Linked DNA regions of Danio rerio. The protein of the gene in region 2 interacts with the protein of the main gene of each other region in a pairwise test. Links are inferred from orthologs where the notes say so. Each region holds a gene or a part of one and is shown on either strand. Other genes may lie near its edges.

Region 1 (6,755 bases), on a different chromosome or scaffold from region 2:
TTAATAAATACTCTATACTTTTTTCCCTGATGAAACTCATACAGACGTTTATGTGTGGTTTGTCTGACAGCAGGTGTGATATTTAATATTTGAATATACACTGTAAATCCCAACTGTCAACGAGTGTTGAATGAGTTCATTAAATACCTCATTACTTTAACTTAAATGGAGTAAGTTCATAGTATTCATATAGATCAGTTTTTTAAATGAAATGGTTTGTTGCAATCGGTTTCTTCAAATTGTTTGAGTTCCCTTAACTTATTGGGTTTTACAGTGTGTGTGTGTGTGTGTGTGTGTGTGTGTGTGTGTGTGTGTGTGTGTGTGTGTGTATACATAAACTATATATATATATATATATATATATATATATATATATATATATATATAATTCTGACTTCAACTGTATATATTTTAAACTCTTTATTTTCATTGAAAAAAAAAATACATACACACAGTACCGCCTATATCCGTACAAGAAAGAGATGATCCATATCAAAAATCTCTTGGAAAGACTTTCACAGTGAATTTGGCTCACAACAAAAAGGAACTCAAAACCCTACATCCCACCCATCTAACATTGATCAAAATGTTTGTAGAAAGTTAGCAAAAAATAAAATAAAAGTCATGCATGAATAACATTTACAATCATATTATGGAACTGGCTAGGACAAAAAAATAAATACAATTGAAGCAATAGGTGTACATAGACAATTAGACCAAAAGATACATTCATTCATTTTCTTTTTGGCTTAGTCCCTATATTAATCAGGGGTCCCCACAACAGAATGAACCGCCAACTTTTCCAGCACATGTTTTAGGCAGCGGAGCACCAGGAGGAAACCCGCGCGAACACGGGGAGAACATGCAAACTCCACACAGAAAAGCCAACTGGCCTAGCTGGGGCTGGAACCAGCGACCTTTTTGCTGTGAGGCGATTACCAAAAGATAAATTCTAAAATAATTATAAGATAATTATAAAGTAAATAATGAAATTAAATAAACAAATAAATTACCATACAACAGTCTTGTAAAAGTCTATATCAGTTCAGTCTATCTAAAAAAATATTATGAATGGTTCCCAAATCTTGTTACAACTGGACAATCTGTCATTTAGTGTGAATCTCTGTTCTCCTAAGTGTAACATATTTCCAAGCTTTCTAGCCCACATTTCAAAGGTGGGGACAGTTTCAGATTTTCACATTTGTAAAATGAGTTTTTTTAAATAATATTATCTTCGTATATTACCTTTTTTATGTAAGACTTAAAAGGAGAAAAACACTGAAAGCATCATATGGTGCGGATGAAAAGATTAAATGTTGCCAGATTTTGATGGAAAAACATGCCTACAAAAACACTTATACAAAAATACAAAAACAACATTCAAAGTGACTCAATAAAAACAAAAAGAGAGTAATAAACCAACATTGTTAAATAATTTTACAAAAGGAGTGATTATGTAAGAATAAAGGAAAAGTGATATGATGATAATACATGAACAAAAGGATTTACTGTATTTATAAATTACTGTTCACATATATTTCTTTATACAAATAATAAAAATACATATGTGTATATGATGGAGGCGCAGTGGGTAGCGATGTCACCTCACAGCAAGAAGGTTCGAGGTCAGTTGGCATTTCTGTGTTGGCATATTGCTGCGTAAGTTGGCAGTTTATTCTGCTGTGGTGACCCTGATTAAGAAAGAGACTAAGCTGAAAAGAAAACGAATGAATGTGTATATGATAACAATTCATTCAGCCATGGCACATTGGCTGAGGCTAGCATGGTTGCCTCACCACAAGAAGGTTGCTTGTTTGAGTTGCTATTTCTGTGTGGCTATTTCTGTGTTTGCTCGAGTTTTCCCCAGGTGCTCCGGTTTCCCCCACAGTCCAAAGATGTAGGTGAAGTTATAGGCAAACTGAATCAACTAAATTGGCTAAATGTGTGTGAATGGGAGAGTCTGTGGTTGTTTCCCAGCATTGAGTGTTGTACTTTCAGTGCTAAGTTGCAGCTGGAAAGGCATACAGCCATCCACTGTGTAAAACAACTGAGTAAACAAATAAGTAAGATGAGATGTAGATATTCAATTTAAATTATATATGATTGGCCTATACAAAATAAATAGATAAAAATGACGTTCATATGAATAAATAAATGTACTTAATAATAATAATAAAATATTATTATTATTTTCATTCATTTATCCATTCATTTTCTTTCTGGCTTAAAAAAAAACATACTCACACTCATTCACACACACACACACTCATACACTGCGGACAACTTAACCTACCAAATTCACCTGTACCGCATGTCTTTGGACTGTGGAGGAAACTGGAGCACCTAGAGGAAACCCACGCAAACGCAGGGAGAACATGCAAACTCCACACAGAAACACCAACTGACCAAGCTGAGGCTTGAACCAGCGACCCAGCAACCTTCTTGCTGTGAGGCGAAAGCAATTATTATTATTATTAATAATCATAAAAATAATAATAATAATAGATTTATCAGGAGTCACCACAGCGAAATGAACTGCCAATTATTTTGGCATATGCTTTATGATTTGTATGAATGCTACAAAATGAGTTATGTGATATAAAAGGTATCTACATAGATAATTTATTATAAGCTATGTATTTGTTTTTAAATATATGTATATAAGCTTATAATGTTTACTTATAAAGCGCGGAGATGGCAACACTGTTCGTTACACAGAACTGGCAACACCGAGAAGCAGACATGCGCTTCGCACACGATGTCCTCTCACAATGCGCATGTGCAGTGTCACTATACCGGCGGAGGCTGAACGGTTGCAGCTTAAACGACGCAGGGATAAACGAGGCCGTTTTGACAGGTCAGTACGCCAGTGTGGATAACTTGTGTCTGTCTGGTTTTATTCCGTCTACATGATGTCAAATTCAAAAGATTATAATGTTAAAACACAGATAAAAGGCGTTAGTCGGACAACCTTGTTGGCTGGGTTAGCAGATAAGCTAACAGAGGCTGCTGCGCAGATCTGGGAGGGGGAGGCGAGTCCGCTGTTAAGACGATATTACTAACAAACCTGCTCTTCAGTCGATGATCACTAGCTCGTGTGGAGCAAAAATGACATTTTGTTAACTTGAATCGATCGTTTCCGCTTCTGTGATGCGATGATCGGTGAGATTGGTGCGTTTGGCGGCTGTTTTTAGGTGTGGATGGTTTGATGGGTCGATCCTCTTCACTGCGGGCTCTAGCACCACTGCCCAAAACACACTGACAGATCCATGCAGCCTCTGTTTTATATTGTTTTTAGTAGTTTGAGACTAAATGTCACAGGTACACTGGCTAGAGATAAATAAATAATAAATGTTATCGTCCGTGGTGGTTGTTTAGCTCAAGCTTTGCGTTTAATCCTTATCTTTTATGAAATATTTTTATCAAAAATAGTGTCAAAGCATTTAGAAATTTGCCTGACATGTTGAAAACCGTCTGATAAACAAACAAAATAAAATCATAGACTAAATTTATAAATAGAAAAAATATATATAGTTTAGAAAAAAAAAGTCTTAACAAACATTTTTACCATGATTTAAAGAAGACACCAAACTGTTTACATGCCAGAAATCATGTCAGACACATTTAAAGCAGTAGTCTTTTGACGATGTATTAGAAGACTGTATGTAAGGATAACAGTGCAGTCCTAAAATAGAAAACATTGCCACAACTACTACTAATAAATAAGAAACATAAATAGTTTGAAGATATTGGGCCAAAGCACCACTGTTGAACAGGGTAGAAATAGCTAAACCAGTGAATAATAATTAATACATATCACCATACTTCCTCAATATTGTTAATTGTTTTATGATCCATTAGGTGTCTGAAATGTTCAGGTTTCATATTAAAGCAAGGTCCTGTCGAACTCAAAATGGGCTGATGTACTTAAATTTAAACATACAATTTTGAGCACTGGTTAATTTTTGTTTCATATTATTGGCATATGCAAAAGGGATTTTGAATGTCTTATTTTATCACTCTGTTGATAAAGTATGTTTGTCAGATTTCACCATATTAGCATAAAATTTAGAAATAAAAGGTTTTGTGGGCATCTTTCAATGACATAATAAAACCCAATTTAAGGATTACAGTGAAGCAAAAAATAATAATTCATTTACATTTCAAACTTTTTTCTTTCTTTTTTACAGATTTATCAGCAAGACAATTGTAATAATTTAAAATAGAATAATGTTAGTATTAGGGCTGCACAATATATCGTTTCGATCAATATTGCAATGTGATCATTCGCAATAGTCATATCGCAGGATATGCAATGTTGTTGTAGTTTGTATTAAAATGTATCATTTGCACATGTTTTGTTTATGCCTGTGATTGTATAATGTCTTCAAAAGCATTCAGCTATAAGAAATTGCACAATTTGTGACCTTAACTACGATTATTTTTATTGAAGTTTGTTGATTGTATTAATAGATTGTTATGAATAAAAATACTCACAAGTGCATATACAGAAATGCACTGCAAATAGCACAGACCACAACAAAAATGTGTCTGGGTAGGTACCCTAAAAATGTAAAGATTGTTTATTTGATTTTATAGGGATGCAAATAGTAAAAATTAATTCATCATTAATACTCACAACACAGCACATGCAAATACAGAAATTGTTTATACAGAAACTGTTTATATGCTCTCCCACTACAGAATCATCCCAATCGATCTAACATTATAAATTCTTGACAAAAATAAAGATATTAAGTCATCTGGGAAAATTTCATTTATATGGCAAAATCAAAAAAATATTGCATTGTTAGATTTTTCCAATATTGTGCATATATATATATATATATATATATATATATATATATATATATATATATATATATATATATATATATATATTTAATTGTGAATAATATAAAAGTAATGTGAAGAAAAAGCTAAAAACTTGAAATGAAATTAAAAGAAAATTCAATGTATTTATTTTCTAAATGCATCTTATGTTCCTAATTGTGAATAGTTAATCTCTGGATAGGTTTCTCTTAAAATGTTTACTTTTCTCAATGTTATTTAACAAGGTATATTAAAATGTCATAACAGGACCTTTCAGTAAGGTTGCTGTCAGATTAGTTTTGTCACTAATGCAGGATGTAAAAATTTGTGTGTATGTGTGTCTCCACTGCCTATGGAAACAAGTGACATTAAATGATCTTTTCAAGAGGTCTGTGATCTAGCAGAGATCAAGCAAGTATTTTAATAAGTCTTGATGATTTTTCTATTGTGCTCATCTTGCTTTGATCGTCTCTTTACAGCAGACAACATCATGAGTCAAGGGAAGGACAATGCACGTCTCAAAAGCTATAAAAACAAATCGCTCAACACAGATGAGATGAGGAGGAGGAGGGAGGAAGAAGGCCTGCAACTTCGAAAACAAAAGAAAGATGAACAAGTAAGTCAAGTGGAGATAAGAGTGACTTGTTTTTCTGTTTTATTTGACTCTTGTGGTTTTACTAATAAAGATATTATTAAACTAGCCTTAAATTTATAGGAAGGATGGAATGAACTTTGAGACAATATAATGAAAAGAAATTTTTGTCTTTTTGAAAAAAAGTTTCTCACCAATCTGAATTTGTTTGATTAAAATTTATAAAAGTGTATTGTATATAGTGTAAAGTATTATATTCACTATTAACTATTACTGGGCTAGCATAAAATCATATTGTATCATATTTTTGTCATATTTAATGTTTTTAAATATTTTATTATTATTATTATTATTATTATTAGAAAAGTACATTCTACTGGACAACAATATTTCTGTTTCAATTTCATCAATTGAAGCTTTCATTTTGAAGAGTCGTGAAGATGCATGAGTGCTTGATTGTAAATAAAAAAATAAAATATATATTGAAAAATAAAATATATTTAAATAAAATTGCAAGTAAAGTGCACTCTTAAGAGAAGCTTTGGGGATAAAGTTTCAACTTTGACAAATTTGAACGTTCTTATAGCTGTTCAAGCGCAGAAATGTGGCCACAGTGGAGGAGGATGGAGCACTGGAAGATGATGGGATGTCTGACAGCGGATACCTGGAATCACAGGCCAACAATATGGACCAAATCACGGTAGTACAGCAAAAATGAAGGCTAGTCTTAGCTTTTTACTTACTGATGAAAAATTAATTGCCTTTTTTTGTTTTTCCATCGTTAAAGGGAAGTGTTATTTCTGAAGACATGATACAGATGATCTTCTCCAGCTCTCCAGAACAACAGCTCATAGGAACACAGCGCTTCAGAAAGCTCTTATCTAAAGGTGAAATACCCCAAAGACTAAAAATCAAGCATTTACATAATCAAATTAGTGCTAAATTATGCTAATTCTGTCTTTGTAACCCTCCATTAGAGCCTAATCCCCCTATTGATGAGGTTATTGCCACCCCTGGTGTCGTGGAGCGATTTGTTGAGTTCCTGAAAAGAAGAGAGAACTGCACACTACAGGTGATGGATATTTAAGGAATATTAAAATCCCAAGAGATTTTATATATTTCTTTTCTTTGGAAATATTAAAACAGTATGTTGCATCAAGAGAGAAAGACACATTATTTATGTAAGGTATTAAAAAGACAGCAGCCTAAGAAAGAAAATAAAAACTCTTTTGGAACTGTTCTGACTTTTGTTTTGTGAACTGAATCGTTTTCATTCCAAGAGCATGTAAAAAAAGTCAAAAACTCATTGCTGATGAGAAGGGGAGGTTTC
Region 2 (6,162 bases):
CATGCTTGACCATCATCCCTTGCGGTCTGTTGTCGCTACAGATCCAGTAATGCGGAAATGGAGTGTGCTGCTAGAATGCATGTACACTTTCTCATGCATTGCACATGCGAAGACCTCTCCAATCACCTCCAAGTATGTAAATCAGTTGCTGACATCACATTTCCTCATGTGTCTGTGTGTGTGTGGGGAGTTTCTGTGGGTTTCAGCATGGCGAGTGAAGGAGATACAGCGCAAATGCGCAGATGAGGCCAAATCACAGCGCACTGCAGTCACGCATACAACATACGATTTTTAAAACGCTCAACTTTTAATTAATGCAAGAACATGCGATACATTTGTGTGAAGCTGTTGCATTGTCAGGTGTTCGTTAACGGTCAACAACCGCCTGAATGTACTTTACCCCTTACTTCATGGATAATTAAGTGTAGTTTTCTGTACTAATACACAACAAATTACTGTGATGAGAAGGGCTGCTTCCTAAATATTAGAGTTGGGGTCGAGTCCACCTTTGTCGAGTCCAAGTCGAGACCAAGTCCTTAACCAGTCGAGTACAAGTCCGAGTCTGAGTCCAAAAGGGGTCGAGTCGGACTTAAGTCCGAGTCCTTAACATCCGAGTCCGGCCGAGTCCAGACAGTCTTAAAACTCATTTATTATTTTTTCTTTTGGCTTAGTCCCTTATTTATCAGGGGTTGCCACAGCGGAACGAACTGCCAACTAGTCCAGCATATGTTTTACGCAGTGGATGCCCTTCCACCATTCACCCATTCACTCTCATTCACACTCACACACCCCGGCCATTTTAGTAAATTAAATTCCCCTATAGCGCATGTGTTTGGACTGTGAGGGAAACCGAAGCACCCGGAGGAAACCCACACCAACACACGGAGAACATGCAAACTCCACACAGAAACACTCCTGACTCCAGTCCCTGTGCGGCAACAGTGCTAAGCATTGAGCCATGGTACCACGTATGTAAAATAACAATAATAATAAATCAAATATATTTTTCTATTAACAATTAAACTGTTAAATGAAGAATTTAAACTTTTTGTACATTTTTACAAAATGACTTGTATTTTTTGTTAGCTTGCTTCAAATTAAAATAAAAATAGGAGGATATATGTCGAATTTTTATTATTTTACAAGACTCACACGATTGACATTATTCTAATGCCACTTTTTCACATTTCTTGTTTAAAATACGCTTGCATTACCAAGGCAAAAATGCATTTTTATTAACATTAAACATCAAATAACAGAGAACTGTTATCAGCCCCAGTGTGGAAAATGAAACCATACTCATGCCAACTGACCCAGATCAGCACAGAACATAAAAGGTTCAGCAAAGGGAGACCATTCGGCTTCACCACTGTCTTAACAGGGAATTAACAGTCAGAAAGATTTTGTTTTAAATAAAGAAAGAGTGATTAAATAGTGGGGGCGATTGGGTGCAAAATAAAACCCAGTGGGAATCAGACTGAAAAAATAGTCCAGTGCAGATTTCTAGGCTCTTGATCTGGGTCTATCTGTTAATGATAGCCTGAAACAGGGGTTCTCAATGTCTACATTAAAAGTTCTAAATCTGAATTTTTTTTATTAAGGTCAAAGCAAAGAAATTAAACAATTGATATTACATAACTTGTTTTTAATAAACATCCATAAGATGCAGCACGGTGGCGCAGTGGGTAGCACAATGGCCTCACAGCAAGAAGGTTACTGATTCGAGCTGGCTTAGGGCAAAATAAACACATACTTATCTGTTCATTCAACTTTGAACTGTCTATTCTCTTCATCAATTCTTTTCAGTGAGACTGACATCTTCTTCCATTAAAATGATTGCTTTGCTGCAGTGTGTTAAAACAGGCGAGCACACACGATTATCCAGCATGATCATGATTAGGCCCAGCCCTAACCAATTTGGAGCCCTAGGCAAGATTTCAGGTGAATTCCAGTAAATTCCACTGCTAGTGTACATATACTCATAAGACACTTATTAGCTTTGTCTTGGACATTCTTTCATTTTAATAAAGCAAGTGTACATTCCAAACACTTAGAAGTTTTTGCAACTCTGGGACACCTCGAAAAAATACGCAGCGATTATGCATTGTGAAACCCGTGTAAGTTTTGCAACTGGACAAAACAAAAATTAAAACAATATGATGCTGATCTTATTTTAACTAAACATGCTATGAAGCAGAAAAGAAGGATGAAGAGTCAGGCAGGTATTAGGCCTAAAACATGCCTAATGATTTATACAAGATAAATTCAGGTCTAAAAAGACAACATATAATTCTCATTCATTCATTTATTTATTTTCTTTTCGACTTAGTCCCTTTATTAATCAGGGGTCGCCACAGCGCAATGAACCGCCAACTTATCCAGCATGTTTTACACAGCGGATGCCCTTCCCTTTATATGCTATGGCCAATTTAATTAATCAATTCACCTATAGTTTTTGGATTGTGGGGAAAACCGGAGCTCCCAGAGAAAACCCACGCCAACACGAATAGAACATGCAAACTCCACACAGAAACATCAACTGACCAAGCCGTAGCTCGAACCAGCAACCTTCTTGCTGTAAGCCGACAGTGCTACTCACTGCGCTACCGTGCAGCCCACAGATAATTCTATAAAACATATTTTTTGTATCTTATGGAATTGTCGAATTAAATTAATATTCTTGCAAAAGACTTCTCAAATTATCTTAATACATCGCTCCTGTTGTGTCTTTGTGTTCCAGTTACATTTAGGACACATTTCTGTTATTTATTTAGAATATTAATTGTATAATAATAATTATATATATATATATGTATATATATATATATATATATATATATATATATATATATATATATATATATATATATATATATATATATATATATATATATAAATAATATAAATATATATATATATAAATAAATGGAGGGTGGGGGGCTTTTGAGGATATAGGTCATAGTCCTGGTCCTCTGTTCAAAAGACAGTGATGATGACATCAGCATACAACTATGCATAATTCTGAATTATTTTAAAACGAAACATTTGAGATGATTAATTGTGCAATACACATATTCTTGCACTCGGTCATTGACTACATATAAATAGAATCAGAAATGTGTCATTATCAGATTCTCTCTTGCATATTCAACATGGCAGATATATACTGCTGCTCACAATCAGTGATGTTTATTCTCACACAGAAGACTCACATTGTGGACACAGGCACCCCTAATCTCTCCAATGTCTCTCATCAAAATATTACCTGAATATTAATTTTTACACAAATTCAAAGTCAAACCTCATTTTATCTTTAAAAAGATTAAATTATTGCTTGAATTTGTGGACTTAGTCCACTGATTATCCATTCTGAATGTTGTCTGGATTTTAATATAACTCTACATTAAATTCATTTGTGCTTATATTGACTTAATATGCAACTCCAAGCAACATTATTACAACATTTTTGCTATTCCATCATTTAATTACTGTAATTTTACACAATCTTTATACTCTCCTAACCCTATCCTCAAAAGCAGAAGCTGATCTGGGATCTGGGATGAGTTTATTATACGGAACGCGTCCGTCAGTCAGCATGTATAGGCTACACTGATTCAGAAATGTGATGATCGACGCACATCTTTAATGGAAGTGAATGCAGACATTTTTATATTCATTTTAACGTGCTTTCAAGCCAAAATAAAGCGAAAGCACAATTCTCTTGAACAGCTCTTGCAGTTCTATCGCATTTCAGATCGCTGTGTTGACGGTGCTTTCACTTTTCATAGAAAGATTAAGCATAAGGGGGAAGAATTGGAAAATTAATCGGGATGATTGCGGGGATGTCATTACAAGAGTCACACAGGAAAACTTTGAATATTACGGAGTCCGGATTTGAGAAGCCCTGGCCTAAATCAAGCGCTGAACGAATATTTCTCTGGCTCAGAGCCAAAGAGTGAAACTTTGAATCTCACAGTTATTTGCGGATATATTGACACCAATATAAACAACAAAACAATATCGCCAAGATGTTTTAACATCATCCCTACGATATGAATGTACAATTCAAGTAAATAAGCTCTTACCTTTCTTTGCTTTCTTTCAACATGTCGGTAGAAGACAAATTATTGCTGAAACCTAGCCACGCATTGTGTGATTATGGCTATTTCTGGTTACACGTTTAGGGTGATGACGTGCTTATGCTGCCTGCTGGTATGGTGCGGTGGCGTAAATAAAAGCTGACATGCAGCCAGAGAGATCGCTAAATTCTTGTTATACTTTCATGCTGTTATTTATTCATTTTTAATATCTTTATTTGTGTTGTGAATGATGTGGACTCGACTGGACTCGTGATATTTTCCGAGTCCAAAATGTCCAAGTCCGAGTCAAGTCCGAGTAAAAGTTTCCCCAAGTCCGTGACAAGTCCGAGTCCAATGAAAACTGGACTCGAGTCCGAGTCCAAGTTCGAGTACCCCAACACTACTAAATATACATACACGTACATAAAAGTGAATTAGAAAGAGATAGTAACGTACCACTGTTAGTTTTAGCAGATGCAGGAACGTTGAAACCTGTGAATGACGGAGCCACTGATGCCACGCTGCCATTGGTCAGGCTGGCCATGGGTTTGAAGCCAGCACCATTGCCGAAGCCAGAGAACGAAGCCGTCGCTGTGGCTGGAGCCAGAGAAAACCCCTTAAACGCTTTGAAAGCCCCTCCACTCTCTCCCTGCGACAAAACAGCAGTATTGATGTGAACTATAATCGCTTTAAATAAACAACTGGGCGCCTGCTGGGATGCAGGAAGGGTTTTACCTCTGCAACGTTACGCCGCTTGGCTTTCTTGATGGCGCGGTTTTTCATCACATCATCACTCGCAATCGAAAACGTTCCTGCCTGAAGAGACAATAATTACCCCTGGTTAAAATTGGCAAGAAGCACAGCATGATTTGTAAATACGGAGCACAAATATCTACACAAAAAATTATATTTAAACTTAAAGCGCTTGAGAGAATAGGCTAATATGTTTAATTATGTTTAAATCTTTGCACAAAATCTAATTAATAAAATTCTTCACACTGCCTCAAAACTTTAGTCCATCATTAGCTATGTTTCGATCCGAAAATGCTAATTAAATTTATGCGCAAAACTGGATTATAGACGCGCGAATAAAGCAGCGTTTCCATCCAACGAGTCAAAGCGAACAAAATCGTCACTTTCTGATTAACTGGCGCCAAATATCAACAGTAAAGACGTCAATTGCTGCGTTTGGAGAGGCTGCGTCAATCTTTTCTTCATTTAATAAATGACTTCTGACCTCAGAAGACGATGCTGACATGCAGTGAAGTGAAGGTGGCGTTTGAAGGTGTCAGACGTGGAGCACAGACGTTCTTGATTCTGGATGTCATTAATAATATAACACTAATACTGAAACGGTAAGGTGTTTTAGGCCCCGTTTACACTAGTGCGTTTTAGTTTTAAAATGGCGTTTTAGATCAAAAACGATCCGCGTCCACACTAGCATCTCTGAACATTTCTCCGTCCACACTACGCCACCAAAAACGTATATCACGTGACCATTCGCGCACTCTGGTCATGCCCGTTGTAGTATAAACAGGAAGCATGTGTCTCGCTCGGCATTTGGTTATTGTTAGTCAACAAACGCCGATTGAACATTAAACGCGATGGCAAAGAAAGCAAGAGGTATTTTTGTGGACAGACGACGAGGTCGAATGTTTAAATTAGGTTTATTTTACATGGATATCTATCTAAACACGTTAAAAAACAAAAAGAGTACGACATGTCTTACAAACGAGTAACGTTGTGTGTACATGTACGGATCAAAGGAAACATATTCCCAGCTTTTATAAACTTGTTTTGCCTTTAGAATAAGTTTTAAAATCACTTTGAAAAAAAAAAAAAAAGTCATAACAAATTTTATTAGTAACTGCAGCTTTTACGCTTGCTAGATGAGTCCTCTTTAGGCTAGATCATCTCATTTCAAAGCGCTCGGTTCGGCCTGCGTGGACTTCGAAGGACTCGCCTTTGAAGTCTGCAGCGTCTGAAATGAGACGCAGCTATTATGTTCTGACGAATGTTAGGAAAAAACATCCATAGTATGAACCAAACCAAATACGACGGACATCAATGGCTGTTTTCCAGC

What was found. The genes of interacting proteins can lie anywhere in the genome.
Region 1: the proteins of nup50 (region 2) and kpna1 interact in binary tests that used the Homo sapiens proteins (3 or more experiments, as listed by UniProt). The two-hybrid records come from large-scale screens. The link is inferred for Danio rerio from reciprocal best matches to the Homo sapiens genes NUP50 and KPNA1.

Annotation. Positions count from the first base shown.
Region 1 is NC_133199.1:24,832,707-24,839,461, reverse strand, and holds the start of kpna1 (importin subunit alpha-5), read left to right. Parts: upstream 1-2,522; 5' UTR 2,523-2,694; coding exon 2,695-2,857; intron 2,858-5,312; coding exon 5,313-5,449; intron 5,450-6,011; coding exon 6,012-6,125; intron 6,126-6,212; coding exon 6,213-6,312; intron 6,313-6,402; coding exon 6,403-6,497; intron 6,498-6,755. UniProt on the Homo sapiens protein: Functions in nuclear protein import as an adapter protein for nuclear receptor KPNB1. Binds specifically and directly to substrates containing either a simple or bipartite NLS motif.
Region 2 is NC_133179.1:71,995,284-72,001,445, reverse strand, and holds part of nup50 (nuclear pore complex protein Nup50), read right to left. Parts: intron 4,896-6,162; coding exon 4,815-4,895; intron 4,729-4,814; coding exon 4,536-4,728; intron 1-4,535. UniProt on the Homo sapiens protein: Component of the nuclear pore complex that has a direct role in nuclear protein import. Actively displaces NLSs from importin-alpha, and facilitates disassembly of the importin-alpha:beta-cargo complex and importin recycling.